Linked DNA regions of Tamandua tetradactyla. The protein of the gene in region 2 interacts with the protein of the main gene of each other region in a biochemical or structural test. Links are inferred from orthologs where the notes say so. Each region holds a gene or a part of one and is shown on either strand. Other genes may lie near its edges.

Region 1 (15,752 bases), on a different chromosome or scaffold from region 2:
GCTAAAAGACAGGGACACACCCAAAGAAGCATATAGTGGAAGCCACTGAAGTCAAACACTGAAAGGAATGAAACTCAGGAGAGAAGGACCAGCAGACACCATCTGATGCCTTCTCCTGTGACAAATGCGGCAGCCTTTCTTCAGAGAAGGTATCATCCTTTTGATGCCTTAATTTGGCCAGTTTCATGACCTTAGAACTGTAAATCTGTAAGCAAATAAATTCCCATTTTAAAAGCCAACCCATTTCCCATGCATTGCATTCTGGCAGCTTTAGAAAACACCATATTCAAAAGAATTGTATGGGATGATAAGGGCCGAATTTAGTACAGTGGTTACCTCTGGCAGGAGGGAAAGAGATGTGATAAGGAAGTAGATGCCAAGAGGCTTCAACTGAATTTGTACGACCTTATTTCATAAGGCAAGTGGTAGGTACAGAGCGTCTTGTCACTCACACTTTTTTAGACCTTAACTACTCCAAACTACATTTAAAATCAAATACATTAGTTTCAAGAAAATCAACTCCTCTTCTTAAAAATCTTAAGTGATTCTGGGGGTGCAAGGGTAGTTCAGTGGTAGAATTCTCGCATGCCATGTGGGAGACTGGGGTTTAATTCCCTGTTCATGCACTTCCCCCAAAAAACAAACATACAAGCAAACAAAAGAAAAAACAAACAAAAATTCAACAAATGGTGCTGCAATGATGGGATAATCACATGAAAAAGAACGAAATGTGGCCCACCATACAGCATACAAAAAAAAAATCTTCAGGGATTCCTTGCAAACATTTATCCCAAACTGTCTCATAAGAGGCTGAGAGGTGCTTGTTCTAGTTTGCTAGCTGCTGGAATGCAATATACCAGAAATGGAATGGCTTTTAAAAAGGGAATTTAATAAGTTGCTAGTTCACAGCTCCAAGGCTGAGAAAATGTCCCAATTAAAATAAGTCTATAGAAATGTCCAATCACAGGCATCCAGGGAATGATACCATGGTTCAAGAAGGTCGATGCAGTTCAGGGTCTCTCTCTCAAGTGAGAAGGCACATGGAGAACACAGTTAGGGCTTCTCTTTCAGCTGGAAGGGCACATGGCAAACACGGTGTCATCTGCTAGCTTTCTCTCCTGGCTTCCGGTTTCTTGAAGCTCCCCAGGAAGCGTTTTCCTTCTTCATCTCCAAAGGTCGCTGGCTCGTGGGCTCTCTATTTCGTGGTGCTGCAGCATTCTCTGCTCTCTCCAAATCTCCTTCATTCTCTAAAATGTCTCCTCTTTTATAGGACTTCAGAAACTTGTTAAGACCCACCCAAATGGATGGAGACATGTCACTTAATCCAGTTTAACAACCTCTCTTGATTAAAGCATATCTCCAAGGAGATGATCTGATTACAGTTTCAAACATACAGTATTGAATAGAGATTATTCTGCCTTTATGAAATGGGATTTAGATTAAAACATGGCTTTTCTAGGGGACATACATCCTTTCAAACCAACACAGTGCTCCTTGAAGTCAAAGTTTCTATGGAAAATATGATTTTAAAAATTTTTTGAAGAGTTAAATTTTTGAGTTTCTTTAATGCAGGAAGTCCACAAACCTTTACTTTGTCAGTAAATACCATTTCTTCTTAAGTTTTGGATATATAATTGAGTACTTTCCAAACATTTTTGACTGCGGAATTTTTCTCTTTGTACATTGTTACCTTTGAATTACTCATAATGATCTTCAGGGACATAGTGTTCCCTAGAACAACATTTTCTATATTATGACCACACCCAACTATGCCCATCTCAAACCAATTATCAACCTTCACGTCTACACGCTTTTGTCCCTACAGTTCTCCTGGTCTGGAACGCCTGCATTCTGAGAAACTGGTCAACTTTCACGAACCAGCTGAAAAACATCTTCTAAGAAGCTGTCCTTTCTCCAGACAGAATACAATTATGTCTTGGAAGCTTCCAGTGCTATACAGACGTTTTCTGTACCACATCTCACACCGTAGCAGTTACGCAACAGACTGTATGCCTTGAGAATACCTTTTCATGTTGGTATTTTTCACAATGCCTAGCACAGAGACAGGCACACTATTCATAACTTTTTAGTCTCTCCTGTGAATGCAAACCTAACAAGATTAGAAACAGACAGACATAAGGACTGAAAAAAAGAAAAAAAAAAAAGACTGAGAGAGTAAAAGGCAGAGACAGGCAGAGAAAGAGTTGGCTAAACTGATAGTGATCATGAGTCCAATCAAGAGAGAGAAACCAACCAACCATGTCAGAGATTATTGGTAAAAAGCTCTGGGCAGATATATAGGGTTGGTAATTTTGCATGGCTCACTGTAGGTCAGCAACACTGCTGACATGGGTACACTCTGAACTAGTCACTCTCTTTGAGAGGTGCCCCTCCACCCCCATTTTCACTCCCCAAGCTAAACTGCCCACTGCTGCCACCACAGAACTTGCATCATTTTAGTTGTGAGCTCTTGTATTCAGCAGAATTTTATTTCTGTCTTTCTTTCTCTTTATGAGAATCCCCCACTGGCATTGTAGATTGGTTATATGTCAGCTTCAAATAAAATAAAATAATAATAATAAAAGCAAGCTGGCAATTTCTTTCCAATAGAATATGCTGCATATTTCATGAAGTAGAAGCCAGAGGAGTTTTATGATTCCTGAACCAAAACCTTCCCATATCTGAGGACTAAATGGAAGAAATACATGAAAAGAATCTCACAGAAAAAGAAATCTAAACATTTGCTCCCCAACCTAAGGGAAGTGTTCAGGTGATTAATTAGCGTAATGATTTTTTTTGGGTTTTTTTTTACGTGAGTTCATATCCTGATTCACATTTCATAGACTGAGTTCAGTGCTAGTTTTCATGGATATAAATTTACTTACTAGAGAAGGGGTTTTCTTTTCCTACTGGGCACAATTTTTCCAGTATAGAACATCTGGCTGGCTCCTGCTCTTAACTTATCAATATCTTTCCTAATCCAAATTTTATTCACTTTTTCAAGCGACTTCTCTACCTTGGTATAGGAGACAATCTGGTCTAGTGGAGGGAGCACAGAAATTCTGGGCTCCAATGTAAAGTTAAGGTATCTCCCCCAGCCTGATTTCCACCCCATCTGTCAATTGGGAAAGTTGACTACTCTACCTCAAAGATTCAATCAAAATCAAAGTCATATTATTTTCCTCAAAATAACTGCTGAAAAGTACAGTGACATGGAGATTTTAGTATTATGTATGCTTCACAATTCCCTTCACAAAGAGGGGAAATGTTCAAGGAAGTATTTCCAATTATCTAAAACAAAACAAAACCTTGACCTAAAAATCCTGATAAGTATCTCTTTCTCTCTATCACCTGGTTAGCAAACAAGGAAAAAAGAACAAAAAAACAGACCAGATACTATCAGAATGCATATCAATGACAGACAATTTTTTATTAACAAGGTGAAGGATGTTTCTCTTATTTGAAGGATAACTTTAGTAGCTAAGTAACAATCTGTGCTAGGTGCCACTTTAAGCACTTTGTGTTAATTCTTACAATCCTCACAACAATCTCATGACACAGGCACTGTTATTATGAAGAAATGGTATTAAAAAGAAATTAAATACCATGGCCAAGGCCACACAGCTGGCAGAGCTGGGAGAGCTGAGGTCCATACCCAAGCAATCAAGCACCCAAGTCCAGGCTTCTAATCACCTGTTCTAACACCTTTTCATTTGAGAATCGGTGTTTGCCACAGCCAGTAACTGACAGCAGCAGCAATATGCATTTCTGTACAGTTAACTAATGAATATTTTAACAGAGTGGACAATGTTAACCAATACCTGCCAGGGGTTATCACAAAGTCACAAATATTAAAAATTCCTACCACCATCAGCCCAATGCCCTGCTGGCAATGGAACACCTATTTCGTGTAGGTAGCATGTGAAATTGGGAAAATCTGTAGAATATTCTACAGGAGGTCTTACTATTCCACTATCCCCTATTAAATATTACAACCACCCTGGGGGATAGCCGGGATCATCTCCCTACTCAGAGGCACAGTGGTTAGAACACACCCTGGAAGCAGAATGCTTAGATTTAAAGTAAATACTACTTCTATCCCTTCTTTGCTGTGTGACCTCAGGCCAGTTACTAAATCTCTCTGTGCCCCAGTTTATCCATCAAATGAGAATAAAGATACAGTATCTACTTCCTAGGGTTATTACATAAGTTAATGTATGTGAAGTGTTTAAAAGGGCAACAGACTCTTAGTAAGTATTCTATAAATGTTTATTTTTCTATAAATGTTTATTTGTTTATTATTTTTCTTTTTATTAATAAGAACTGTGACTTGCCAAACATCACAAAGTTAGGAAGCAGCTGGACTCAATTCAGGTCCTCCAATTCCAAATGCCATCGTCTCTCCTTCCTAAAAGCTACCATTTTCTCGAAATCCTGCTATGCGTCAAGCACTCAATGAAATGTTTCTCCACAAAAAAAAATTGCCCAAAACTCCATGATGAGACTGAGATTCTGAGAGATTAAGCGATTTAGATTCAATCACTTAACTCAGCCAGTGAACACCAGCCTTCGTCACAGTAAATCCTAAATAACAGATTGAAAGTTCATGACAACACCCCTTTAATTTATGTCACTTTTTAAAGTGCCCATCTAAAAGACATAAGTTGATTTTCTTGCTTTGTCAGCTTTGTTAGTTCGAGAGAAAGATTAAAATTCCACCAAAAACAAAATATTTGACTTGAGTGAATCATCAAAATGAAATGCTGCCTCAATTAGTTTCTTCATCTGCCTGCAGGGTGGCTTTGGGCATCAGAAATTCACCAAATGCAATTTATAAGATGGGTACTATCAGGTACCAAGCCAAACACCCACTCATTTAAGAAAAATTACTTTGGACGGCAAAGAGGAGTGAAGAAGCATGTTCCTCTCTGGCTTTGGGAGGAGAAAATGAACAATAAGTGATAGAATCTCTTTCCGGCAGCCTCACACAATCCTGTGTCTTGCAACGGAGACATACTGTGCAACAGCTTGCAAGATGAGCTTCATCAACAATAAGTAATTTTTATTCAGATTTTATTGTTGAATACAATGAACATGATTAAATGTTTCAGATATGCCTATTCAGACCTTAAGCAAACCACCAAAAAAAATAAAAAGCTAGTAAAAATCATCTTCTAAATCTGCTTTACGAAGACATTTAATTGCCAATTCCATGTGTAGAACTGAAATTCCACTCGATAGTGTCACTGTTCCCAAGAAGATAGTAACAAGTTTACTCTTCCCACCTGGGCCTCTTCTCTCATCCCTGCAGATCCTAACCATTCTTGCCAAATAGTTACAATGTCTGTCTTTTCAAACCACTACATTTTAAACTTCCTACAACCTTTAAAAGAGTCTGTGTGTGTGGAAAAGAACAATAGCTCTTCAAAAGCCATTTCTGGGAGTTCTTCAATACTCCATTTGAATGCTGGGGTTTCAATCAAGGACATCAGCAGACAATTTCTGATTGCTCAGAAGTTGACTTTTATACAGCTTTGATTAGGTCGCCCTTCTCAATAGGAAATCAAGAAAATCTTTGATCCCTTTCAGTTTCCAGAATTGTCACCAAGCCCTGTCAAGATAGGGAGTGAAAGAGATGGGGGGGGGGGGGGGACTGTTCCTATTCCAAACTCTCCCTCCCCCGTCCCTTGCATCTTCTTGACTGAAACTCGGGGTTCCATCCCAAATCACTCACCGCTGAGATTGATTTAAAAAAAAACAATAATAATAAACAATGGGTGCTAATTCAGGGGGTGGAGATGGTTTATAATTTTATGGATTTCCCCCGAATACCTATAATTGGCACATAAATGTACAAACGCGAACTGGATAATTAGGGGGTTCTGAACATAAGCTACCTTTAATTTATATGATTACTTGAAAACATGTTAAGTGTTATGAAGTGTCAGCTGAACCCCTACAAGGCCTTTATCCAAAACCATCAACATTGTGAAAGTGCATCTAATGGGCCAGCAGGAGGGGAGCAGGAGGGGGGTAGTGGGTGGAGAAGCAGCAGAGCAGATTCTCGCTCGGTTCCCCGCCGGTACGCTAGGAACTGCATTGTAGCATCCATCTCAGAGTTGGTACCCGCCCGCCCAGCTCCGGGGCACTGAAAGGCGCTCTCGCTTCAGCGAGCTCTCGACTCGCCCCTCTTTCTGATCGCGCTAAAACACGGCCGTGCACCGACATCCAAACGCACGCGCAGGCACCGACCCACGCACCCCACCCTCACCGCCACACACTCGCGCGGCGGCACCCGCCACTCCGCGGGCTGCGGACCCTCGGGCAACAGCCAGGCCACGGACGCCCGGCGCCCCCGGCCTCCCCACCCCCATTCCATTCCTTCAGATTCTCCCCGCCAAGGCGGAAGTGCCAAGGCAGCAGACCCCCAACAATGAGGACTTGTGTGATGCAGTTGGGGGGTGGTTTCTACGGAGTGAAACGTACACAGTCTGGCCGGGCCGGGAGGAGCTGCGCAGGAGCCAAGTGCCATCGGTCTCGCGAGGCAGTCAGTGCCCACCCTCTCCCAGACCTCAGTCGGGTTCTGACCACCAGCACCAAAAAAAAAAAAACAAAAAAAAAAAAAAAGGAAAGAAAAAGAAAAACCACGCGCCTTAGGAAGTGCAGAGAAAAGACGCGCCCTCCCAGCAGGGGTCACAATAACACTTGGCGGGACGGAGCGAGTGGGGGAGGAGGGTCCTGGCTGCAGCAAACACCCCCGTTTTAAAAATGTACTACTTCCTACACCCGCCCGGGCCCTTTCAGACGTCGCGACACAACCTCCCCCCCCCTCCCCCCCCATTTCTCACTCTCTGACTACCGGTTCTCTCAGAGGTTAGGAACCCCTTTTCATGGCTCCTTTATGCGCCGAACCACGGGCATTTATTTAAAGTTTCCCCAATAGGAGGAAAAACAAAAAACAAAAATCGGAGTTCTGCATCCGAGGCCGATCGAGTCTGAAGCAGACAGGGGAGGGTTAGAGAGGAGAGGTATCGGGATGGCGTGGAGCCCGAGAAGTAAAAATGGGAAGGAAGGAGGGACCGAGGAGCCGGAGAGATCTGAGCCGACGGAGGACCCAGGGAAGGCTGGGGCCCAAAGAGACGTGGGGTCCAGCCCTGATATTTACATGGAAGGGTTGGCGGTTACTAGGACAGATCCGGTTTTCCGACAGGTCCAGGCAGAACCGCAGCGCTGCCAGGTAGCAGGCAAGTGAGAATACGATTCGTCCGGGACTGGGTGCGCTGCTCGTGAGAGAGGAGCAGGGTCCGGGACCACAGATGAGGTTCTGGGGTGGGAGAAGGAAAGCTCGTAGATGGACAGAGCTGGGACCCCAAGAGGGAGGATGCTGCGGATCCGGAGACAGCCCAGCAATTCTGAGTGAGCAAGTCTAGAAAGAGGATCGCGCGTGGCCAGAAGTACGGAGATTGCGGGAGGAGAGAGGACGGGAGGAAGGAGCAGAGGTCGCCCCTCTCCCCCACTCCAGCAAGTGGAGGGAGCGAGCGGTAAACTGCTGCAGTCGCCATACCCACGCAGCGCCCTCTGCCAAACTCCCGAGAGGGGAGCCCCGGGGTCCCCAGCGGAGACACGCCAGGTGTCCGGGCGCTGTGTCTCCGCCCGGCACCTGTCCGGGTTGAACTCTAGGGCTGCCGCGTGCCCTCGCCGCGCCTCACCTCGGCTCGCCGACAACATCCTCCTCCGCTGCCGCAGCCGCCCAGGAAGCGGCTCCCCATGCCGGTTGGGCGACGGGACTCAGGCGCTCTCTCCAGTCCGGGGAAGCCCCGGCGAGCGCGGTGCAGGGTCCATCCTCCCCGGGAGCCACGGGCCTGGCGTCAGAGCAGGGGGAGGAGACCGCCCCACGCGCAGACCCGCCTCCTCCTCCGGCCCCCGCCCCGAGGCCCCCCGCGCCCGCCCGGCGCCCAGCGGCCTCGCTCACCTCCTTGGTCCCGCGGCGCGCCGCGTGCCTCAGCCTTAGGGCTCGGGCTCCCGCTGGGGCGCTCTGTGCGCCGCCCGAGCGCGCTCGGAGAGCTTAGGCGAGTCGCGGTGGCAACAGCCAGGAGGAAAAGCGAGCGAGCGGGGGCGCCGCGGCTCGCAGTCGCGTCTCTGGAGCCCCTGCGTTCACTTCCCATCCCGGCGTGGAAGGGGGTGAGTGGATCAGAGAGCACCGGGTCCCCGCCCCAGCTGCGCCGACGAAGACAGGATTGGGAGAAGGAGGAGGGCTAAAAGCAACCAGACTCCGGGTTCCCAAAAGTATCCGTCGTTTCGCCAGCATCACCGCCACCACCAGCAGCCCCCGCCCGACCCTCCCTCATTTTTCTCTTTTATCCAAGCCTCAAAACACACACATACCAATATATAAAAAGTGCCAGTGGGCGAGAAAAAAAAAATCAGGGAAGTCTCACGGGGTTGTGTTGCCCCCATGCCCCTCTGCAGGAGGGGGCGCTGGTTCTCAGCCGCCTACCCTGGCTCTCGGCTCTTGCTGTTGTTACTGAAACTCCCGAGGCAAACTTGGGCTAAAAAAGATGTGCGTCTGTCTGGTTTTCATCGGTCCTGGGAGGAGTCAACACCCCCGAGAATATGCCCCAATTCACCCTAGCTCCGGTTCTTAGAATGCCTGGGAGTACACAATCCGTAGATTAGATCGCTGAATTCAACCTGCGCGGGAGAATGCTCCAGCGTATACACTTCAGTCGCTCCCTGCTTTGGGCCATATTTTACGGAGATCTTAAGAACGCCAAATTGCAGAAAATATATTCTGAAAATTCTTCAGCTCCAGTAAATTCTTCAACACCATTAAATGCCTGTTGCACCATTCCTGTCTCTAGAGGCCGAGATGCAGGGGGCTGTGGGGTGAGTGGGGGGGTGGGGGGTGGAAGGGTAGGGACTCAAACCAAGCGCTACCTTGCTGGAGCAGGGCGCCAGGAGGAAAGGAAGGGGCAGTCAGTAGTTCCTTAAAAAGTTTATTTGTATTCCTTTTTAGGGGCTATGCTCCTCTTCTCCAGCTGTGTAATAATAAAGCTAATGTGGTGGATTTGGTTTTTGTTTTTCCTCATAGCTTCTGTAGCTCACCCATGAAAATTTAATGAAGCATTTAGGGTTATTACCTCCAAAGTCAATGGGCTAAAAATATTTAGCCTAATGCACTCCTTATGGAGCCAATAGGTCTATGACTGGTACATACGAAGTCATCGCGAGACCCTCCCTTTCTCCACAAAATTCACGACCCATTAAACTTATTCCGTAATAACAGCTTCTGTACAAATGGAGGCCGTACAATCGGAGGCTGTCATGCACCTCCTGAAAAGATAGCAATTTACATAGAGACAAGAAAAATGTGTGAGGTCACTGGCAGGGTGCAATCTTAGGAGAATAGTTAGTTGATCAGAGGAAACTCCCAACAAGGTGTGTGGAGGTGGTGGGGGAGAGAGGGTCCTCACCCCTGATCCTACCCTGCTCCAACTTACTTCTGGGGGTAGCCAGCAAAGAGTGGGGGACCAGGAAAATGGGCTCAAGTCTCTCAAATCTTCCCAGCGTTCTAGAGAGTAGGAAGAGCTGACACCTTATCACTTCAGTTTCATTCAGTATGAAGTTCAGGCTGGCCAGGCTTTTCCTTGTCTATAAAGACAGAACTTAGGAGACATGGACAATTCAGAGAAGCTATGACTGAAATGGGGGGAGGGGTAGCTGGGACAAATGTCAAGCTGTGGTTAATGGACCATCTATACAACTTTTTACTGACTCTACCAAGAAACACTCTGAAATTTCTCCATGCTTTGAGGGCAATCATGGAACATAAAAAAACATTCACATGCATTTAGCCCTGCATATGTGAATTGTCTCCTCCTGTCTTCCATCAGGTCCTGTGTTGGACTGATGTTGTGATTACAGACTTTGAAGGGAATGCAGGACACCAAGTTGGCTGAGGAGTAGAAAGGGAAAGAGGATAAAGTTAAAACTCAATCTCTATTCAGCATTGGACTGGGTCCACTGTGGAAACTGGGCACATTCCCATGCAATCCAAAAGGGCAAGACACTGCAGCTGTTCCTCACTCCAGACCGGAAGAAAGCATAATCTATAGATTCTGATGGCATACAAGCTGCCCAGCAAGGGCCTAGTGGTCTTCTGGATGAAACTTAAAACAAATCTTAACGCAGTATTCTTAAACTATTATGCTAAACATGTCAGACTACTCATCTAAAATTTAGGGTGATTTTTCTATTATTATTTAGGTTTCTGGCAATGATGTCACTTGTATTAAGTGCAAGATAAGAAAAAATAATTGATAAATATTTCTTTATCATCTACTCTGAGAAACAGCAGACTAACCAGATGATCAAGAGCAAACATTTATATATCACTTATTCTATTTCAGGACCCATTCTGTGTGCTTCTCATATATTAACTCATTTAACCTACATGACAGCCCAGTGAAGGAAGTACTCTTATTGGGTACTGTACTGGGTAGAGTATGGATTTTGATGGGCCTCAGTCATCTTTGGCAAGTTACTTACCTCTCTGAACTTCAAACTTCTCAACTACACAATACCTGCTTCATGAAATTGCTGTGAGCCTTAAATGAGATGGCATGTTGGACATGTCTTGCACTGTATAAGTTGCACAATAAACATCTATTTTCTTCCCAAAATAATTCCAACATTGTTCATTTTAATTTAAGGAGGATTTGTGGAGTATATGCCATCTTTTCGGGCACTGTGCTAGGCATTGGGGATAATGATGATAAATCAGAAACAGACCCCATCTTCAAGGAACTCAGAGTCAATTTAATAAAAGACATGGACATGGGTAGCATGCACATGGGTGAGAAGGAACATTATTGAACCTTCACATAATTGATTCCTATGAACAGGATTCTCAAGATACTCAAAAGGGCAGCCTATGTAAGTGCTGTTTAAGACTGACCCATGGTTAACCAAATGTTGAAAATCATAAATCCTGCCAAATAACTACTCCTCTGAAAAGGGGAAAGCAAAGTAGTCCATTCTGTGTATTACATAGCATTTACAATTCTGTTTATTCCTATAATTGTTCCAAATATGCTTCTCATTGTAAAGAGTATAATATCTTGATTTGTGTTGCAAGCTTTGGGGTTTTCAAATTATTACATAATCTCTATTTATTTAATAGTTTGTAGTGCTTACATACACCAAGAATATGCTAAAGTTTCTATACATATAAAGCTCTCAAATTAATAAAACTGTTAAACCTGTCCAGTAGGATTATCCCTATCAGGCTCATGGAAGATCTTAGGTGCTCAAAGTATACTACTACATACACACAGATTCCAAGGTTAATTCCAAATCTATCTAAGCCTCTCATTGTCCCTTTCATTGAGATTCATATTCACACTCAGATTCTGTATTTTGGGAAGAAAATTCTATTCATTCAACAAATGTTCACTTAATGCTTATTCTTTGTCAGGCACAATGTTAGAGAAAGAAAGAAAAAAAAAATGCCCTCAAAGAATTCATAGCTAGGGGAAGGAAACTCATCATCACATTAAATTGTGATAAATGCTATAATACTGACAAGTACGGAGTGCTCGGGGAGCATCAAACATGGGCATCTAACTCAGGTAAAGAGTTAAGAAGACTTTGTGAAAGAGGTGTTACCATCTTGAAAGATAACTGGGTGACCAGATGAGGCAGGGAAGGCATTCCAGGCAAAGAAAAGAGTAAGTGCATAGAGAATTTTCTCTGGGGGTGGGAGGCAGGGCATAGTTGAATCTAGATAAGGGAGCGAGAACAAATTATAAAAGGTCTTATTTGCCATATTCAGGAGAATGGAATTTAGCATGAAAATTAAAGGGATCACTTTAAAAAAAAAAAACAGGAAAAAAAAAGGAGATAAATATTTTGCAAACCTTAAAGTAATCACATTTGGCATACTTTGCTTGTGTGCACTGGACACAAGTAAAATATCCAATTCCTATTTTTCTTCTAAGATTAAAAATCCTATGAAAAAAAATATTTCTATGTGTCTTCATTAAAAAAGAATTTATCTTCTTTCATGATACCTATGTTACTGGCCTTGCTTAATTCCAGGGAAAGGTTGCATAGCAATATTATTAAACCTGACTCTGGTTGACAGTAGCTTTAAATAGCATTCTTTGTCCCACCCCCCCCTACCCTCTAACCCCACCCCACCCCCACCCCTGCTACACACACACCAAGAGGGGTCAAGGAGAGCAGCAACAATGCAACAGTATTTATGTCACCAGTCTGCTCTTTTTAGCTTAAAGCACAATAGAAAACAAGTAGAAAGCTAAAATGATTGTCAAAGGCCTCTTGTGTCCCACTACATCCCCCCCCCACAATGTTTTCACTCATAAAGGGGAGCTTAAGGTGATATTAGTGCTTGGAGAAATAGGTGGGCTCAAAGCTATAAAAACATGGCTGAGTTTCTGATACTTAGGGAGTATAGAAACAGGGAAGAATCAGCATAGAAAGGGATACAGTTATCATTTAATTTTTGGCTATTATTTTAGAGTTCTGGTAGATATTTGTCATTTGCCTCAGTGGTACCCATTCCTGCTTCATCTGGAAACAACACCCAGATCCCCATTCCCCCATTGAACAGGTTTTTCTCCATTTAGTTTTGGTGGAGCTGACTCTATCCCTGGCTCCAGGGTTGGACAAGTTAACTCAGTGCAACATATTCTCTTGGCCACAGTTCAGACATAGTCAAATGGATGATGGAACAACATGGAAAAATGTTTTCTCTTTTCCACTGAACTTGAAACTGGAAAGATGCTAAGCCTATAACTGCCGGAACCCATCCCATGAAGAAAGCATTTGGAGGATGAAACTAACTGAGAAGAAAAGAGGAGTAAAAGATAAGAAAACAGTGCTCGCTTCTGTGGCACATATACTAAAACTGGAATGATACGGGGAAGATAGCAGGGCCCCATGCAAGGATGATACGCAAATTTGTGAAGGATTCCATATTTTCCAAATGGTGTTTACCCTCACAAGTTGGTGTTCTAAACTTGCAAAGAACAAAATTAAATAATTGATACATCTAAAACAGAAGGAGAGAAAATAGAGATGTATGATGATATTGTTCAGGGAATTTGGTTTAGCCATGCCTGAAGCCAACTACTCTCCTACCCCCTGGGTTTTCTCAGTTTCAGGAGACAATATATTCCATTTTTACTTAAGCCAGTTTTTGTCACTTTTAATCAAAAGCCAAATACATTAGGCATTGTTTTATGCACTTCCTGTACATTATCCAATTTAGTTCTTAAAGTACTCCAGCAAGATATTTTATATATTTGTACTTGGCTTGGTTCTATGAAGAATATCAAGGCACTGTGCTCACATTTTACAGATTAGAAATAAAATCAGAGAGGTTAAACATTTTCTCCAAAGTTATACAGTTAATCGGACTGACAGTTGGAAAATCAAATTTTAAAATACCATTGACAATGGCATGACATAAAATATTTAGAAATGATTGAATGAAAGTGCTACAATATTTCTACACCACAAACTACAAAACCTTGCTGAGAAAATTAAAAGATAAGCAAAATAATGGAGAGGTATACCATGTTAATGGTTTGGAAAACTCGGTATTGTTAGGATGTCAATTCTCCACAAACTGAACTATACATTTAGTACAATCTTAATAAAAATCCCTGCTACACTCTTTCATGAAACTGATGAGCTAATTCTAAAATGTACATGGAAATACAAAGGACTTGTAATAGTCAAAATTATCCTGAAAAAAAAAAAAATAGCAAAGCTAAAGAGCTTCCACGACCTGCTATCAAGGCTTACAATAAAACTAGAGTAATCAAGATAGTATGATATTGGCATTAATGAGAGACCAAGTGATCAATGGAACAGAATAGAGAATCCAAAAATAGACCAACATATATTCGGCCAACTAATGTTTTTTACAAAGGTGCTAATGCAAATCATTGAGAAAAGAAAAGTTTTAAAACATGGTAGTAGAACAACTGGATAAATGTATGGAAGATAATGAACTTTATCCCCTTTCTCACGCCATATGTAGAACAAAATAGAATAACTAAAGCTATAAAAGTTCTAGAGGAGCACACTGGAGAGTATCGTAATGGTTTGAGAGTTTGCACAGTTTCTTAGAGAGGACAAAAATTTATTGAACATAAAAGAGAAAAATGATAAATTAGAGTTTATAAAAATGTAAAACTTCTGCTGATCAAAGGACATTAAGAAAATGAAAAGGTAAGCCACAACCCTGGAGAAAATATTTTCAATACATATATCTGACAAATTGGATGCAGAAAATATAAAGAACTCCTAACTAATCAATAATAAAAACAAATCACATAATTAAAATGGAGATGAGTGAATGATCAATAAGCACATGAAAAGGTGCTTTACATCATCCTTGATCATAATGCACATTACAATGCACAAATGCAAATAAAGAAGCCACAATGAGATACAGTTTCATACTTACTAAGATTTCAAAGTCTAACAACATTAATTATTGGTAAAGACGTGGCACTCTCAAATGTTGCTGGTGAAAGTATAAAATGATATAACCACTTTATTTTGTACTTTCTTATGAAATTAAACACATACTTACAGTTAGACTCACCCTTAGGTATTCCACATATAGATATTTACCCAAGAGAAATAAAACACATGTACACAAGACGTATATTAGAAAGTTTATGGCAGATTTATTCATAATAGGCCAAACTGAAATCAACTCAAACGTCTAGCCATAATAGAATAGATAAAAAAGTAGTAGAATATTCCTATAATGGAATGTTCATCACTAAGCGAGAAATGAAATGCATTACCAATATACCCAACATCATGGATGGATTTTTAAATCAATTTGAGTGAAAGAAGATAGACCCAAAAACAGGTTAGTAATGTGATTCTATAGGAATTTCGACAACACGCAAAATTAACCTATGATGAAAAAATTCAGAATAGTTGCTGGCTCTGGAGGGGGATTACCTGGAAAGATAACAGGAAATTTTCAGGGATAATGGGATGCACTACATCTTTAATGTAAAGTTGATTCCATAGGTATACACATTTATTTAAAGTGATCAAATTGTACTCATAAGATCTGTGAATATCACTATTTCTATTTTACCTCAATCTGTTTTGTTTTGTTTTTTGAAGAGCAGGTATAGAGAAGGTGGAAGGGTCAACCAGCCCCCACGATCCGTTTAGGTCCCACTCTATTATGGCCCAACATGGATCTTTGTGCTAATAGTGGAAGTCCTGAATAAAATATTAGATTAAAAAAATACTCTCTGGTATACATGATATGGCCAAAGCAATCAATGTGGGGGCTAAAGCAAGAATGGGTCCCAAAATGGAAGCCCCATCCATAAAATGAAAGCACTGTCCAGAGATGCAATGTGTGTCATGACAAAGGAAGTCTTTCCAGGAACTGAGTAAATCCAATACAGGTGGGATGGTGGCTTGGCAAGATGGTGATAGAGAAATTCAAGTTTCAGGTGGTGAAAGTAAATGGGAAGAAGGGGCCTTGGATAATCAGATCTTTTAAGTTCTCCTTCCAAATCGTGATATTCCCTCATTCCTTGAGAAGTTCTGGTCAAAAAGCTCTTAAACTATAGTCACACCTTTCAATGGTTCTTTTCCTCTCTGTCCCAAAAAGCCAATGAAGAGACCACAACTCTATAGTGTAAGCTATAGGCTGCACAGTTGAATTCATATGAAAAACT
Region 2 (16,629 bases):
GTTAGACCCGAGTTAGGACTTTCAGTAAATGTCCTTATAGGTAAAAGGCACCTAAAAGAGTGCTTAGGATGAGAGAGCTGGAGAGGAGCAGAGACAGGGGCAGAACTGGGATGGCCTCTAAGAGCTGGTTTCCAGGACGTCTCCTGCCCCTCCCCTCCCCTCCATCGCCTGTTCCTCCTTCCCCTGCTTTTGACCCACTCTCTTACTCCATTCTCTAAGGAAAAACTAAGAACAGCAACAGCTGACTTTTACTGTGGGCTTAGTATGTGCCAGGCACTGTGGTAAATTAGTTCTTTCCATGTATTATCTTATTTAATCCTCTCCACAAAATGACAAAGGAAGTACTACTAACCCCACCATCTCACAGACTAGGAAACTGAGCTGCAGAGAGGGTGGGTGAGTTGCCTGGCAAGTGATGGAACGGAGACTCAAGTCCAGTTCAGAGCTTCAAGCTCTGCACCGACCAGTGCAGCATCCCTTCACCAGCCTCGCCATTCCCACAGAGAGATCCGGGAACTGTCCCTCCTGCCTGGAAAGAGGTGCCCCTTCCACCTGCACCCGCACCCAGCGCCGGGGTCCCAGCGTCCCAGCCCCTCATGGCCTTTTCCTCGGCCTGGGTCAATTTCATTTCCGTTCAGCTGGCATGCACTGAAGGCCAGCTCTGTGCAGACACTGCACGAGGCATTGGGGGTGTCAAAGCGGAGTGAGACTCCCCTCTGCCTCTCAGGGGCTCCCAGTCCCCTGGGAAGACAGCTCTGCACTAACCCGAATGCAAGACAGAGGTGTAAATAAAGCCTAGGAGCTCTGAGCAGGGAGGGTTAGGGTCTGGCAGATGCCTGCCCCCCCCACCCTAATCCACATCTCTAGCAGAGTGGGTGGCACTCAGGCCCCTGGCCAAGATGAGAGCCGAGTTCAGGAAACACATCAAGGATGGCCCCGCCAGGCCCCCCCACCCAGAGTCTCCATCTCCTACACCCCCCCACCCCCACCGCGAGCCGGGAATAAAGGCCCCTTGAGGAGGTGGATAATGCTGAGTTCATTGCCCCACTGGGCCAGCTGTGAGGTCTTCCCGGGAAACACAGTCTGCCAGCCTAGTTAGCATGCCGGAGAACCGTCCTCTTCCCCTGGCCAGCCGAAGCCGGCTGGGCGGCTGGGGGGGCTGGAACGGACTCGGAGGCAGATGGGATGTTTGGAGCCCAGAAACGGACCCCTACGCCACCCTAAGCTTCACCGCATTTCTTCAGTCCTCCACGGGATGCCTGTCCCGGGGTCAGGTTCTGCAGACAGGGTCTGAGGTCACTGGTTGGTCACTCGGACCTCCCCTCCACTCCACGTCCCAGCCTTGGTCCCCCCACCCCCGCTCTGGCCCTCACTTAGTCTCCTGACTGTCCCCCACCCCCATTTTTGGCCTGAACTCGACAGAGGAAACAGCAGCTGGCAAACTCCGAAAGCTGGAATGAGAGAGATTCACAAACCAGATGTGCTCTCTCTCTCTCTCTCTCTCTCTCTCTCTCTTTCTCTCTCTCTCTCTCTCTGACGGAGGGGAGTGGGGAGCGAAAGGAAGAGGACGGCTCAGGGCCCCTGGCCCAACAGCAGCATCAACTCGGGCCCAGGGGTGGGGTGAGGGCACATCTCCCAAGGGCCAGGGCAGCACAAGCACCCAAGGATGGAGGAGAGATAGGCAAAAGGACTTCCTTCCTCCCTAACAGGAGAAAGCCCCGGGAATCTTAAGTTAGGAGGCTGAGGCCTGTCTTTGATTTCCTTCACGGGGAGAGGGGAGGAACAAAACAAATACCTTACTTTGGGGCAGTCTACACAGCCAAGGGAAGCCTGGCTCTGGGCTGGGAGGGAGCTGTGCTGGGGGTGGGGACCCGGGAGCTGCTGGGGGTCAGCAGCCAACACCCCAGCCTTCCGCCGAGCCCTCTGCAGTTGAGCCCAGCACCCGGAAAAGCCACCTTTGTGGCCTGCAGTTTAGACGAGGCAACAACCCTGCCCGAAAGAAAGTGGGCAGCAGCTAGTGGCCAAACCCGCCCCCAGCACTGGGGCTTCCCAAAGATATTTAGATCCTCTCCACCCCGTGATGTGGGCACCATGGTGATTCCCATTTCACAGATGAGGAGACTGAGGGGCCAGGGGATTAGTAAGCGCACTCATCCGCCATGGCGAAGGGGTCAGATTTAGAAGGCAACGGTAGGGAGAAGGTTTTGGCTCTCTTGTCACTGGGGATGCAGAGAGGGACCTTGGAGGTGGTAGTGGTCTAGTGCTGTGCGTGGAGGAGACCCAGGGGACAAGCATGGGTCTTGGACGAGGAGGGACGAGAGGAGGGAGAGGAAGGAGGAGAGGAGAAAGGAGGAGAGCGAGCGAGGCTGAGGCAGAACACAGGACACAGGGCCGTCTGTTCTCAGCTTTGCCTGGAGATGAGTGTGACCGCCATGCTAACTCTGGTCAACACCCCTGCCCGCCCCCACCCCCCGCCCAGACCCAGGCGCCCAGCCCAGCCATGGCCCCCAGGGCCACCACAAGCTGGAGCCAGGAGAGGAGGTGTAGGGTTGGGTGTGCATCCAGACACAACACGGACCCCACTGCCTCACTGGGACCTTGGCTCCCACCCTCTGTCCTGTTTTGGGACCTTGGGGAGTAGGGAAGGGGGGCTGGCAAGTGCCTGGTCAGAGAAGAGAGGGCCACAGAAAGCACAGACCCCTCAAGGAGTCTTCTCCAGAGGAGATGGGCCCATCATTCCCCAAGCCTGTGGGAGCAGTGAGGAGGAGGAAGAGAGGTGAAGGCTCAGATGGTCCTTCCCAAGGGACAAGGACAAGGAGACAGGGAAAGCATGCAGGAGACCCTCGAGACCCTTTCCAAGAGCAGACAGGGAAGAGGGAGAAACTGTGTGTGTGTGTGTGTGTGTGTGTGTGTGTGTGTGTGTGTGTGGGCGCGCGTGCGCGTGCACGGGGTGGGGGAGGTTGTTGAAGGGGGATCATGAGATATATCTGAGGGGACAGAGGAGCCAGGGGGTCGCTGGGGGGGGTGGGGGTGGGGGACAGAGCCTGCCAGAACCTGAACTTATAAACACATGGGGGTGGGGCGGCGAAGGCCTTGCAGACCCAAACCTAGGGCTTTTCACTTCATTTTATGTATTTTGGGTGTTACCCCTTGGCTCCTTCCTGCAGCTCAGTGAGGCTCAGACACATTTTTGTCATTCCTGAGTCTGGGCCTCTGCTTTGTGGCCTGGACAGAAGGACAGACAGGGTGGCTTGAACCGCAGGGAGGGGAGAAGGGTCTCCCCCTTCATCCTGAGTCAATATTGACTCAGCAGGACATTAGCCTGGACCGTGACTTCTCCACCATCTTTTCCTTTCCCCACAAATAAAATCCAGACCCTTCAAATGCCTCCAGAGGTCACCATATCTCTCGCCAGGCTTTATTAGCCGCCTTCCCCACCCCCCCGCCCCCCACCTCCCACACACAGGGCCTATGCTTACTAGAAGTAAAAGCTCTAAGTTCCTGACTCATTCTCCCCATCTTTCTCCTGTTCTCAGGCTCCGGCGCATGAGGAAGTTCCTACAGAAGTCTAACCTCCTTCCTTCCTTCTGAGACACCTCCCTCTTTCCTCTTACTCAGCCCACAAAGGAGATCAAGTTCCCTTCTTCCAGAAACATTCTCTCCGAAATCCATTCCCAAAAATTAGTGGAGGGGAAAAGAGAGAGAGGAACTTGGAGGAAAGTGGAGGGGGAGCTTTCACCACTGAACCAGACCTTCTTGGGTCTGGCCAGGGAGGGAAAGAACAACTCCAAAATGATGATGGGAGCTGGGGAGCATGTGGGAAGGCCCAGGAGACACTCCTGCTCCCAGGTAGTTCTCAGGGTACCAAGAGGCCCGATGGAAGTGAATGGCAACAGGCAGAGACATATAAGACAAGTGACAGAGACCAAGAGACAGGACAGAGAATACCATGGAGGATGGGCAATAAGAGAGTTGAGCCGAGAGGAGAAGAAACAGAGGGGTTCTGCGTGGCCAAGGCAGCTCAAACCAACGACAGACAGAGGCAAAAAAAGGCAGGAAGGATCTTAGCCCAGAGGCTGCCAAGACAATGACACAGTTGCCCTGGGATGAACCCAGAGAATGACAACCTCCCTGAAGCTCCGAGTAGGGTGGAAGGCAGCATACACCCTGGGCTGGGGACATAATGCCCCTGCCGTAGCTGCATCTGACCCAAGGGAGACCCAGAATGGGGACCACTGCCTCCCATGGAGTCAGGAGGAAGGGGGAGACGAAGACTGGAGCTCCTCTAGCAGGGAAGCTAGGGCCCGGGGAGACCCTCACCTTCCCTGGGGGAGCAAGAGGGACAACAGCTTCCCCTCCTACTCCTCTCCCCAATGCCCCCTCACTTCCCAAGTCTTTCCCAGGGTGGTTTTACATGGGAGCCTGGGGCCACTGCTCCGGAAGCACTCCAGAGCCAACTGCTTCCTTCTCCAAACAATGCAGGATCCTGCTAACCCGGGTGAAATCTGGGACAGAACACAAAGTGGGCTCTGTGTGTGTGAGTGTGTAGGGAGACTGGGTTCCCCAAAGGCTCACACCCGGCACCCAGAGTGCCAAGGCAAGGACCTTCGTGCATCCCACTCAACTGCACCCAGATTTCCCAAGAACAGAGAGCCCCCAAACCAAAGCTAGAGGAGAGTTAGATGGAATAAGGAAGGACTTCCCAAAGGGAAGGAAAGGGGGATTTAGGCAGGATTTGGCTCTAGCCAAGGCTCTGGCTGACATCTTTGGGCGATACAGTAATGGGAGAGTTTTCGAGGGCAAAAATAAGGAGAAAATGGAAGGAGAGGGAAGGTGAGCAGGATTGGAAAAAAAGGTAGTTATGTGATATAGCCCCAACATCAAAGTATTCTTCCAACCCCAAAATGAACGTTCTACATAAACCCCTCTTTGAAAAGTGAGGGTCAGGGGGGACGATCTAGGATTTAGGTCTGACCCGAAGAGAAAGGGTTTGCAACCTTCTAAGGAATCGAAGGGTAACACCCCAACCTCATAACTCACTTCAACGGTCCACCTTGCCTGCTAACTGGTAATACCCCGACGGGTTCAGAGATGGGTGGAGAGGAGTAGGAAGAGAGGAAAGATGTCAGCATTTCCCCGCAACCCACGTCTGCCTGGGGCTGTCCTTCCCATTACACAGCGTTCCCTGATTTCAACCAGACCCTCGAAAACCCCTCTTCCCATTCGCCATCCCATCTGGCTCTCCATCCTCCCCAGCAGCACCAGCACTGAGTACTAGTGGGAACTAACACGACTCCCCAGAGAGGACTGTAGGGTGGATTTAGGCACAGAGGAGAGGGGGAGGCCCCTGTGCAGGGAAAGCAGCAGGGCCTGTGAGAGCAGGAGGAAGGGAGGTTAGGACCAAGCCAGGGGGCGTCCTTCTCTGGAAGCAAAGGAGAAAGCTCAGGGTGTGCACCTGAAGCATGAGGGTGGGGTAAGGATGAGAGGACCCTTTGGTTGCCCCAGGATAAAGACAGATGGTGGCACAGTTCTGGGCAGTCACCGGTCCACTCCCCAGCCCTGTCCATGGGGTGGACCTCATCGCACCAGTCCCATTCCCAGGATGAGAGTCACGGTGTGCTTTGGGGGAGGGGTCCTCTTTCTAGGACTTTGGGAAGAGGTGTGAGCTGGGGCTGCAGCAGGGGATTTTAAGGAAGGATAGGGAGATAGTTAAGGAAAACTTATCCCATCTTCCTCCTTCTTGAAGGAGGAGCCAGCTTGAGGTGGTGATTACAGCCCTTTAGAACTCTGGGAGTGAAGCTACCTGGAGCCCATTCCTGGTCAGGCTGGGGGCCTTTTCTGCTTTCCACAGAGACCCCTTGCTTTTGCCTAACTCTGTCCACCCTCTTTCATGGGGTTCCTGATGGGTCTTTCTCTTTCTCTTTCCATACTAAAAAATATATATATATATATATATTTTTTCCCTATCCATTCCCAGAACTGCAGCACTAAAATCTCTCTGCCTCAGTTTCCCCTCCCAACCTACAGAGCTGAGAAACAGAGGCAAGAACTTGCATGACTGAGGGAGTCATGGGCAAAGGCTGGCTGTGAAGGCTGGTCTAGAGGATATTCAGGGCAGAGTGCCTTTCTTTCTCTTGGACTGATAATTGAGGGAGTGGGAGGGGGTGCAAAGAAACAGAGCCCTGGATGGGATAACTGAGGGCCACTACACATATCCTCAGTATTCTGGGCATCGTTGCTTCCTGACCCCATAAACCCCTCCCCCAAGTGAAGCAAGCTCCAGGGAGGGCAGGAGAGGGAGAGATAATCTGGTTTCAGGGAAAAACTTTCCCAATCACAACCTGGCAAAATTCAGAAGATGGAGGAGGAGGGGGAGGTAAGGGAAAGGAGGACAATTGCTTGTTGCATGATGGTATCCGGCCCAGTCCCCGGGCCCAAACCCATAACCCCAGCACAAATCTTGGGCAAGACTTGAACAAGTGAGTCACAAGTAAAAGGGAAAAAAAAACAGCTGACAGAAAAAGGCCAGAGGGTGCATCCCGTTTCCCCAAAGGGACACTGTTCGTTCTAGCAGAAACCTAACTCTGCAGTATACAAAGTATGTATATATCTGGTTGAGGTAAGGTGGGATAAATAAACACATTTACCAAAGGATCAGGGAATTGGGGTATGGGGGTATGGCTATAAACCTAACCCACCCTCCAACTCTCCTTCTAGACCCAACTGTGATCAAGCCAGAAGCCAGGGAGAAAGCAGTCCCCCCACCCCCACTCCAGCATTCCAGGCCATTCTTCAGTACCCTTCCCCAATGATGACATATGACGTTTTTTCATCTCAAACCTCCCAGGAATTAAGAAGGAAAATTCAAAGTCACAAAGCATCCCCTGCACCCCTTTAGCCCCCCAGTACAGCTCTTCCCAGGCTACTGACAGAAGTCCTGAGGCCAGGAAGTGCCGACTCCAGAACGCAGGCAGGCGCCCTGCTGGATCCTGGATCCAGGCCTCCAGGCCTGGGCTCCCGGGCCCAGATTCCACACCCAAGCAGGGGGCCTTCCCCATGGCCCTCCCTCTCCCCACCCACAGCCTTCTTGGGCCTGCCTGCCCTCCGCCCAGCAGGGCATCCCTGGCCCTGCTACCCTCTTCAGCTTCAGAGGCCAAGGCAGAACCCCACCCCCCCCACCCCCGCCCCCTTTTGCAGCCGCACATTGCAAACCAAGATTCCTTCACAATTCAGATTGGGGAGGGGGATGCAGGATGAAGGGGAGGCAGAGGCCCTCCCGGACAGAGATAGGAATAGAAGGCCTTTGGATCTCAGGATCAGAAAGGGGGAGCCCTCATCTCCCTACCCAGGCCTCTGGTCTTTGTCTGGGCTGGGGGGTCCCTGAAGCATCATTTGCCCAGGCCCCCATCCCCCCAAATCATACCCCCATCCCCGCCCCCAGTGGGGCCGCTGCTGTGTCAGCTGGACTGGGATAACAAAAGACACCCCCTCCCACGTCTCTGTTCCCCGGCTCTACGCAGGAGTGGGGGCTGGGGAGGGGGTGTCCCCGGGGGTCCAAGGGGGCCGCGGAATCTCACTCACCGTCGATAGCCGCCGCGACCAGAGCTGAGAGCAGGGGCAGCAGCAGCAGCAACGCCGGGGTCAGCATGATGTGGGCTGATGCAAGCAGCAGCTCCCTCCCCCCGGGTCCTGCTACTTCTTGTCTTCGCCCCCCCATTTGGGGGGATCCCCCCTTTTCCTCCTTCCCCTCTTCTTCTCCGCTATTCTGATCCTTTCCTTTGGCAAAGCGCACCAGGGGTGTAGGTGAAGAGGCAGAGTTGGGAGTCCCTTGCGGAGGGCCTGCTGACGGGGGTGCGCCCTCTGCCCCCAAATCCAAACCCCTCACCCCCTGCTGTTCTCCTCGCTCTTCTCTCCCCCTCCCGGGGCGAAGCTCACAGCCCCATCTCGGAGCCGCCTCCGGCTGCAAAAATGCACAATTGGGAGGAGGCGGGGAGGGGGGAAGGTAGGGGGCGTGGACCGGGTGGGGGAGCCCTTGAAAGGGGCCTGATGGAGCTCTGGGGGCTCCCCTCGTTTCCGCCTCCTCAGTGCACGGGCCCGGAGCTCACACCGCTGTTCCTTGGACTGAGATGCTGCGGGGGGGCCGAGGGGGGAGAGGGAGGGGACCGGGAGAGGAGCGAAGGAGGGAGGGAAGGGGCGGGGAAAGAAAAAGTGTAGGGGGGGGGGTTGTAGAAAGAGCTACGCGGCAGTCCTGGCAGTGCGCATGCGCCGGTTTGGCGCGCTGCCCTGGGGAGGGGGAGTCGGAGGAGCACCGAGACTTGAGCTCTGAAGCGGTCGGAGTGTGGGGGTCCCGGGCATCCGCCAGTCCATTTGGGACCCGCAGCGCCCTCTCCCCTGAGTGGCCCCTTGCTCTGCGCTCCAGAGAGCTGAACGGGCGAAGTGGGGAGATGGGCAGTGGGCGAGGAGAGCCGCTCCTCTTAGAAACTCAGAGTCGTACCCTAGGATTTCATTCCCCCCCCCAACTTCCCAGGGCTGGGGGTGTCCAAGACTCCGAGGTCTGCTGACGAGGCCTCCCCCGCCTAGGGTGGGGGCGGGGCCGCCAGTCCGCCGGGAAGGTGTGGGGAGAGGCCGGGCTTTGATTTGGAGACTTTGTAATACCGGGACCGGGATTGGGGCCTGCGGCGGAGGGGGGCGGGTGGAGGAGGGGCCGCGAGGGCCCGCCCCCTGGTCGCTCCGGGGTTCGGAGTAAACAGGGACACCCGCGGGGACACGCCAGAGCTTGTCCGCCTGCCGAGGGCTCGGGGATGGAGCCCACCTTAGCACCCGCCCCGCCCTGCTCGCCTGGCACCGGGCGCGGGAGGGGCAGGCTCTGGTTTGGAGGGAGGTGAGTCACTAGCGGGTGGCGTTGAGGAAGGGCCACCCCCCTTCGCCCCCAAGAGGTTGAGGCTCATTTTGTTTTGTTTTTTTGGTTTTGTTTTGTTTTGTTCTAATCTTCTGGCTGGCTTCCCACCAAGTCAGGGTTTTAGATTCCTGAGCACCAGGGATTTGGAGTCAGAGGAGAGACTCTGCACCTCTCTGCTTCCAGCGTGGGGTTCTAAGGGGGTGTCTGCTGAGAGACCTTTGTCCCCAGCCCGGAGCCTGTACGGGAATGCTACTTTGAGTCCTGAAGGCGCTGGGGGTTCCCCGAGTCCGAGAAGGTGCTTCTGGCTACTGCCCCCTTCTGGGTGGTGTCTTCAGGCAGTATCCTTGGTATCTGACTTTCTGGATGTGTGGAAGTCAAGAGTTCAGAGACCTGGGGCTGGAGACACTGGCAGCAGGAAATCAACCTTAGAGATGAGTAACAGTTGCTGCACCCTTCTCCCTTCCTAAAAATCTAGTCAAAAAAGGTCCCAAGTCCTCACTCCAGTCTTTCCCTTACAGGGACAGCATGAAAAAATTGTTAGTGGCAGTGGGAGCACGAGAGGACTCCAGAAAGAACTTGACCTTTACCAAAACCAGGGATTCTTTCGAGCCCTCTTTGCTGCTTTGCAAGCCTGTGTTCAAGGCTTGTCATTTTTTCCTTGGAAATATATCTCAGATTTCCTCCATTTCCACTGCATGAGAAAGTTTCTCCAGAGGGGCTGGGGTCTTATTCATCCTTGTATGCGGACCTCATGGCCTAACTCCTGGCAGGGACTCACTAAATGCTTTTTAATGAACGCTACTAGATTCCTCCCTCTCCCAGGGCCCCCTCGGAACATTCCAATCCAAGTGAAATCAGGTGGAATCGGACTTCTTGCAGCTTTGAAAGGAAAAAGGTATCTGAGTGACTGTGTGGCCCGAGGGGGCAGCCTCATTCCTTTCCCTTCCATCTGTCTTATACCTGTGAATCGTCTTAAAACTCGGCCTTCTCCCTGTCTCTCCCTTGCTGGTGACCCTCTCCTGGGTATTTATAGGCAACTGAGTCAAGTGTGAAAGCTTCTCCCAGACAGTCACGGCCTTTCAAAATCTGGCCTCAGCCAGCATATCAACACTGACCTCTGGCTACCTCCTCGCTCCTGCTGTTTCCTAAATGTGAATGTGTATTTATTTTTTAAGAACTTTATATTGTAAAAAAAAAAGAAGTGCATGCCTAGTGGTTTTAAAAACTCAAAGAGGATAGAAAGGTACAGGTGAAAAGCAAACTTGCCACTCTTCCACACTCCCATTCCTCAGCCACGTCCCCAGAGTAACCGCTGCTAATAGTTTCTTTGGTCTTCTTTTTTTTTAACGTTAGACAAATATTAATGAATATCTTTAAATAACACAAATGAGCTCCTACAATATTATACTGTCCTATACCTTGCTTTGTTCAATGAACTCATCTTGATTCCTTTCTGTATTATACTTACATGTCAAGCTCATTCTTTATATTGGCCACTTGGGATCTCCTTGCTTGGACACTCCATAATCTGTTGGGATGGTTGGGCACCTGGGTAGTTTCCCGTATGTGGACTGCTGAGGGTGTCTCTAGGAGAAGAAAATGCTCTTTCTACCTGAGCCTTTGTTAAACTGTTCCCCAGCTTCTTTCTGCCCTCTTCAGAAAAACTTTCCTATTACTCTATCTCTGCCTATCTATCTGTTCTAAACTTGCACTCATGGTAACCTCCGGCCCCAGAGTTTAGCGCTCGATCATATGGGTCCAGGGTCCACCACCAGACTATAAACTCCTTGAGGGCAGGGACCATGTCTTTTACTTCTTTGTATCTACCTGGGCTTAGCAGTTCTTGATTAGTTTGTAGGGAGGCTGGCAGGAATGTTAGGACTAGGGGTACCTGACCTGGAGGAAGAGACAGTCATAAATAATTGATGTCAGATGGGATATGACTGTGAGCAATCTCACTTCCCTATCTTTTCTCTTATAGTATTCATCATTCAGTCCCTCTCTGCCTCAGTTTCTCCTCTTTCTTCCCACTGCTGTTCTTAGGAAGGTTTTTCTGTCCTGAAATTTGGGAGATGGAATTTGGTGAAAGTCATGGGAAATCAAGGAGGAATTCTCTACAATCCATTACTGGGAGACCTAGAAAGCTGAGAGTGGGCAAAAAAGTTTGGACCACTCTCCCCCCAATCCCCCCCCCCATCAGCAAATTGTTAAAAACCCTCCCTCCCCCTCCCTTTTCTGCCTGGGTACAACAGGGTCTGGGATAGGGCAATAATGGGGCAGCTCTGGGACTGAATTTCAGACCACAAACTGATACCACCTAGTGGTCAGTACTAGAAGTGTGCACAGGAAGGGGTATCTTTGAAGGGTCTGGTGGAAACTGGAAAGAGGGAAGAGCGCCAACAATTATTGAGTACTTTACAAGTGCCAGGCACATGCAGTGAATTTTATATGGATTCACTTCCTTAAGCCTTTTAACCACCTTGTGACGTAGGGGTTATTTCCAGTTGGTAGATAAGGAAATAGACCCTCAGAGAGATGAAAGAATCGGCCCCCAATCATAGTGCAGATTTGTGCCCATGTTTCACTCATTTAATAAACATTCATTGGGTATGTCACCTGCCAGGCACATTACAAGGCACTAGGGACAAGAGATTGAAACACACCCTCTCAGGCTTCAAGAAGCTCACAGATGAGTGGGGTTGCTCAACAGGTAATTGACAGTCACAGCACAGGACCTGAAACCTATGATAAAGACATGCACAGAGGGCCCTGAGAACCCCGAAGGGACACTTATTATAGATGAAGGGATCAGGCCAGAGCAGGACATGTGAAGACAGGATAAATGTTGAAAGAGACGAAGGAGATGACAAGTGAGGAAAGTAGGAAAGGGTATTTTAGGTAGGAAGGAGGAGAGGCTAAAGGAGTAAGTTTAAAACATTTGGGAAACTGAAAAATGTGGTATGGATGAAGTTTGAGGTACTTTTTGGGAGGGTACTGGGTATGTCACAAAGGCTTTTGTGTGTCACACTAAAGACTTAGCATTTTTTTCTTTCTTAGAAGGGATAGGGAGCCAGGTGAGAAATGATGTTTTTAACTAATGCACTAGTGATAGAATTGGAGAGGAAGAAAAGAATTCTAGAGGCATTAAGGAGGTAGGATCAAGTATAATAATTGGTTTTTCATGTAGGTCTAAAGGATGGTGACAGAGAGAGCTGGGCCTTTGAGAACACATTAGAATGTTCTCAAAGCTCTCAAATTTTAGCTGCACATTAGTATCACCTGGGGAGCTTTTAAAACTCCCAATACTGAAGGATTTATACCACTTTACTTCAAGACTTGTTAGCTACAGTAATCAAAAGAGTGTGGTAAGAGCTTAAGAATTGACAAACAGATGGAACAGACTAGAGAACCAGAAATAGACTTGCACTTAAAGGTCATTTGATTTTGACAAAGGCGTCAAAGTAATCCAGTGGAGAAAGGGATGTCTTTCAACAAACGATGTTGAAAAAACTGAAAATCTCTATGGGAAAATAAATGACTCTTGATCCCTACCTTATACCATACACAGAAGTTCATTCAAGATGGATCATAGACCTAAATCATAAAAGTGAAAATCTTAAGGCTTTTAGATTAAAATTCAGAAGAACATCTTCAAGACTTGGAGGTAGGCAGAAGTTTAAGTCATAGAAAATAAAAAACCTTGAAAGAAAAAAAAGATAAACATGAAAATTGAAAACTTTTGCTCATCAAAAGACACCACTAACAAAATGGAAAAGTAAGCCAAATAGATAAGTAAACCATTGATCTGACAAATTACCAATTTCTAAAAAAAATGGAGAAAAGATTTGAACACATACATTACAAAAGAACATATACGAATGGTGAATAAGCACAAGAAAAGTATTCAACATCTTTAGTCATCAAGAAAATGCAAATTACAATCTAAAAAACAGAGAGAGACCAATGAGACATTGACAATTAAATGCAATACATGGTCCTGAATTGGATCTTATAACGGAGGAGAAAATCCCCAAAAGGACATTATTTGGTACAATTGAAAAAATTGGAATATAGACTGTGTGTTTTATATCAATGTTAAATTTCTTAAACTTGATAATTGTATTTAATGTGGTTACATAAGTGAATATGCTAGTTGCACCAATTTGAAAGTATTATATACCCCAGAAAAGCTATGTTTCAATCCTGATTCAATCTTTTGGGGGCAGCCATTTCTTTTAATCCTGGTTCAATATTGTAGGGTGGAAACTTTTGATTAGATAAAGATGTGACTAGACCTATTCCAGGTGGGTCTTGATTAGTTTACCGGAATCCTTTAAAAGAGGAAAAAATTTGGAGCGCGCTCAAAGCAGAGCAGAAGTGGATGTTTGGAGGGCAGTCACTTGAGAGGTGACAGAGCTGACACGAGACCTGGACGTTTGGAGATGCAGGGCCCAGTGATGTTGCTGTGTATCTTCCCATGAGATGCTGAGCAGGCCAGAACCTAGAGTTTGTTTCCCAGAGGAGCCAAGTGAAGGCCCACGGACGCCAAATGAGGAACCCCCACAGGAAACAGAGGTTGAAAGCCACAGAGCCCAGGAGCAAGGGACCAACAGATGCTAGCCACATGCCTCCCCAGCTGACAGAGGTGTTCCAGACCCATTGGCCATTTTTGAATTAAGGTATCTTTTCCTGGATGCCTTAGTTTGGATATTTTCATAGGCTTAGAACTGTAAACTTGTAGCTTGATAAATTCCCTTTATAAAAGCCATTCCATTTCAGCTTAACAATGAATACAGATTTGGGTACTAGAGAAGTGTGGTGCTGCAGTTTGCAAATACCAAACATGTTGAAACAGCTTTTAAAAAGGATAAGGGAGTGTGCACGGGTAGTTCAGGGGTTAGAATGCCCACCTTCCATTCGGGAGACTCGGGTTTGATTCCCTGACCATGCACCCACCCCAAAAAATGGATAAAGGGAAGATTCCAGAAGAGTTGTGAGGGTCTTGATAGAGAAGGCCTAGAAGGCTTTGAGGAAACTATTGGTAGAAATGTAGACTCTAAGGATACTTCTGATAAGGCTTTAGACAGAAATGATGAACGTGTTGTTGCTAACTGGAAGGCATTCTTTGTGGATGGAAGACAGAATTTGAGAGTGATGAACTTAGATATTTAGCAGGAGAAATTTCTAAACTAAGTGTGGAAAATGCAGTCTGGCTGTTCCTTGTAGCTTATAGTAAAATGTGACAGGAAAGAAATAAGTTGAGAACTGAACTTTTGGGTACAAAGAAAAGAGAAATTGATGGTCTGGAAAATTCCAGGCTTCCAGAAAGTGAGACCCCAGTGAATAGGATCCGTATTAGCTAGGGTTCTCTATAGAAACAGAATCCACAGGAAATATCCATAGATATAAAATTTATAAAAGTGTCTCATGTAACTGTGGGAGCATAAAATCCAAGGTCTGTGGAACAGGCCATAAGCTGGTAACTATAATGAAGGTTGCAACAAACTCCACAGGAGAGGCTCACTGGCTGAAGCAGGAAGAGAACCTGTCTCTTCTGAATCCTTCTTAAAAACCTTCCAGTGGGCCAAGATGGCGGCTTAGCAATGTGCGCGTTTTAGTTCGTCCTCCAGAACAACCACTAAATAACCAGAAACAGTACAGAACAGCTCCTGGGGCCACGTCAGTGACAGGACAGACAGCGTACCCCAGTCGGGACCAGCTGAACCGGCTGCAAGCCCCCCCAAAACCGTGAGATCCCCAAGCCACAGCAGCTGGCGCCCGGCGCCCCTCCCCCACAGGCAACTTCCCAGAGGGAAAGGAAAGAGACTCTAAACCTGGTCAAGGCAGAGGTTGCTCATTGGGCTCACGGAAAAAGAGGAAAGGGGAGGAAATGGAGGCTTTAGTGGCTGTGTCTCTACGGAGACTTGGCAGCCTCTGGATTCAGCAGTGGGACTTCTCAGGCTGCAACTGCCCCAGGTATAGGCAGAAATGGGTTGCTTTCAGTGCTGTTTTCCACCTGTGCCTTCCCCAGGAGAGAGGTGAAGCCCAACTCAGGTGGAATCCCTCCCTCAAGGAATTCAGACCTCAGGGCTTGGCAATTTGAAGCCATTAAAACCAGCCTACAACCTCTCCTCCGTCTCCACCACGCCCCCAGCAGGGAGAGTCTTACAAAGTCAAAAGTGCTGCAACATCGTTTGCTGGTGTGACCCGCAGGCAGACGCGCCACATACTGGGCAGGATAAGAAAAACAGAGCCCAGAGACTTCACAGGAAAGTCTTTTAACCTGCTGGGTCTCACCCTCAGGGAAAACTGAAGCAGGTGACTCCTTGCCCCTGATAGGAGGCCAGTTTAGTCCGGGAAAACCTGGCTGGAGTCTATAATACCTACGTAGATCCTACTAAGGATGGGGAGGGAAAAGGCGCCATACAAGCAGGGCAAGAAACAAGAAAACAAGAACTGAAAAATTATCCCCTGTTAAACAAAACCTAAGCTAGAGGTCCAGAAAAAGCTGAACTGAAGGTCAAAGAACAGATAGACAACAAATTCATCTAGCAAGAAAACCCTAGATGAGAAGTGAAAGCAATCACCAGAATAAACCAATTAAGGTAATTAAATGTCTAGATGCCAGCAAAAAATAACAAATCACACCAGAAAAATTGAAGATATGGCCTAGTCAAAGGAACAAACCAATAGTTCAAATGAGATAGAAGAGCTGAAACAATGAATTCAGAATATACGAACAGACATGGAAAACCTCATCAAAAACCAAATCAATGAATTGAGGGAGGATACAAAGAAGGCAAAGAATGAACAAAAAGAAGAAATGGAAAGTCTGAAAAAACAAATCACAGAATTTATGGGGATGAAAGGTACAGTAGAAGAGATGAAAAAAACAATAGAAACTTACAATGGTAGATTTCAGAAGACAGAGGTTAGGATTAGTGAACTGGAGGACGGGACATCTGAAATCCGATAAGATACAGAAACTATAAGGAAAAAATGGGAAAATATGAGCAGGGACTCAGGGAATTGAATGATAATATGAAGCGCACAAATATACGTGTTGTGGGGGTCCTGAAGGAGAAGAGAAGGGAAAAAGAGGAGAAAAACTAGTGGAAGATATTATCACTGAAAATTTCCCAACTCTTATGAAAGACCTAAAATTACAGATCCAAGAAGTGCAGCTATCCCAAGGAGAATAGATCCAAATAGACATTCTCCAAGACACTTACTAGTCAGAATATCAGAGGTCAAAGAGAAATAGAGGATCTTAAAAGCAGCAAGAGAAAAGCAATTCATCACATACAAGGGAAACCCAATAAGACTATGTGTAGATTTCTCAGCAGAAACCATGGAGGTGAGAAGACAGTGGGATGATATATTTAAATTACTAAAAGAGAAAAACTGCCAACCAAGAATTCTATACCCAGCAAAATTGTCCTTCAAAAATGAGGGAGAAATTAAAACATTTTCAGACAAAAAGTCACTGAGAGAATTTGTGACCAAGAGACCAGCTCTGCAAGAAATACTAAAGGAAGCACTAGAGACAGATACGAAAAGACAGAAGAGAGAGGTGTGGAGAAGAGCGTAGAAAGAAGGAAAATTAGACATGACATACAAAATGCAAAAGGCAAAATGGTAGAGGAAAGTACTACCCAAACAGTAATAACACTAAATGTTAATGGATTGAACTCCCCAATCAAAAGACATAGACTGGCAGAATAGATTAA

Evidence for each region.
Region 1: the proteins of LRP1 (region 2) and DAB1 form a complex in vitro, tested with the Homo sapiens proteins (2 studies listed by BioGRID). The link is inferred for Tamandua tetradactyla from reciprocal best matches to the Homo sapiens genes LRP1 and DAB1.

The regions. Positions count from the first base shown.
Region 1 is NC_135328.1:163,547,969-163,563,720, reverse strand, and holds the start of DAB1 (disabled homolog 1), read right to left. Parts: upstream 7,839-15,752; 5' UTR 7,710-7,838; intron 1-7,709. UniProt on the Homo sapiens protein: Signaling adapter of the reelin-mediated signaling pathway, which regulates the migration and differentiation of postmitotic neurons during brain development.
Region 2 is NC_135333.1:124,310,215-124,326,843, reverse strand, and holds the start of LRP1 (prolow-density lipoprotein receptor-related protein 1), read right to left. Parts: upstream 8,144-16,629; 5' UTR 7,718-8,143; coding exon 7,582-7,717; intron 1-7,581. UniProt on the Homo sapiens protein: Endocytic receptor involved in endocytosis and in phagocytosis of apoptotic cells. Required for early embryonic development. Involved in cellular lipid homeostasis.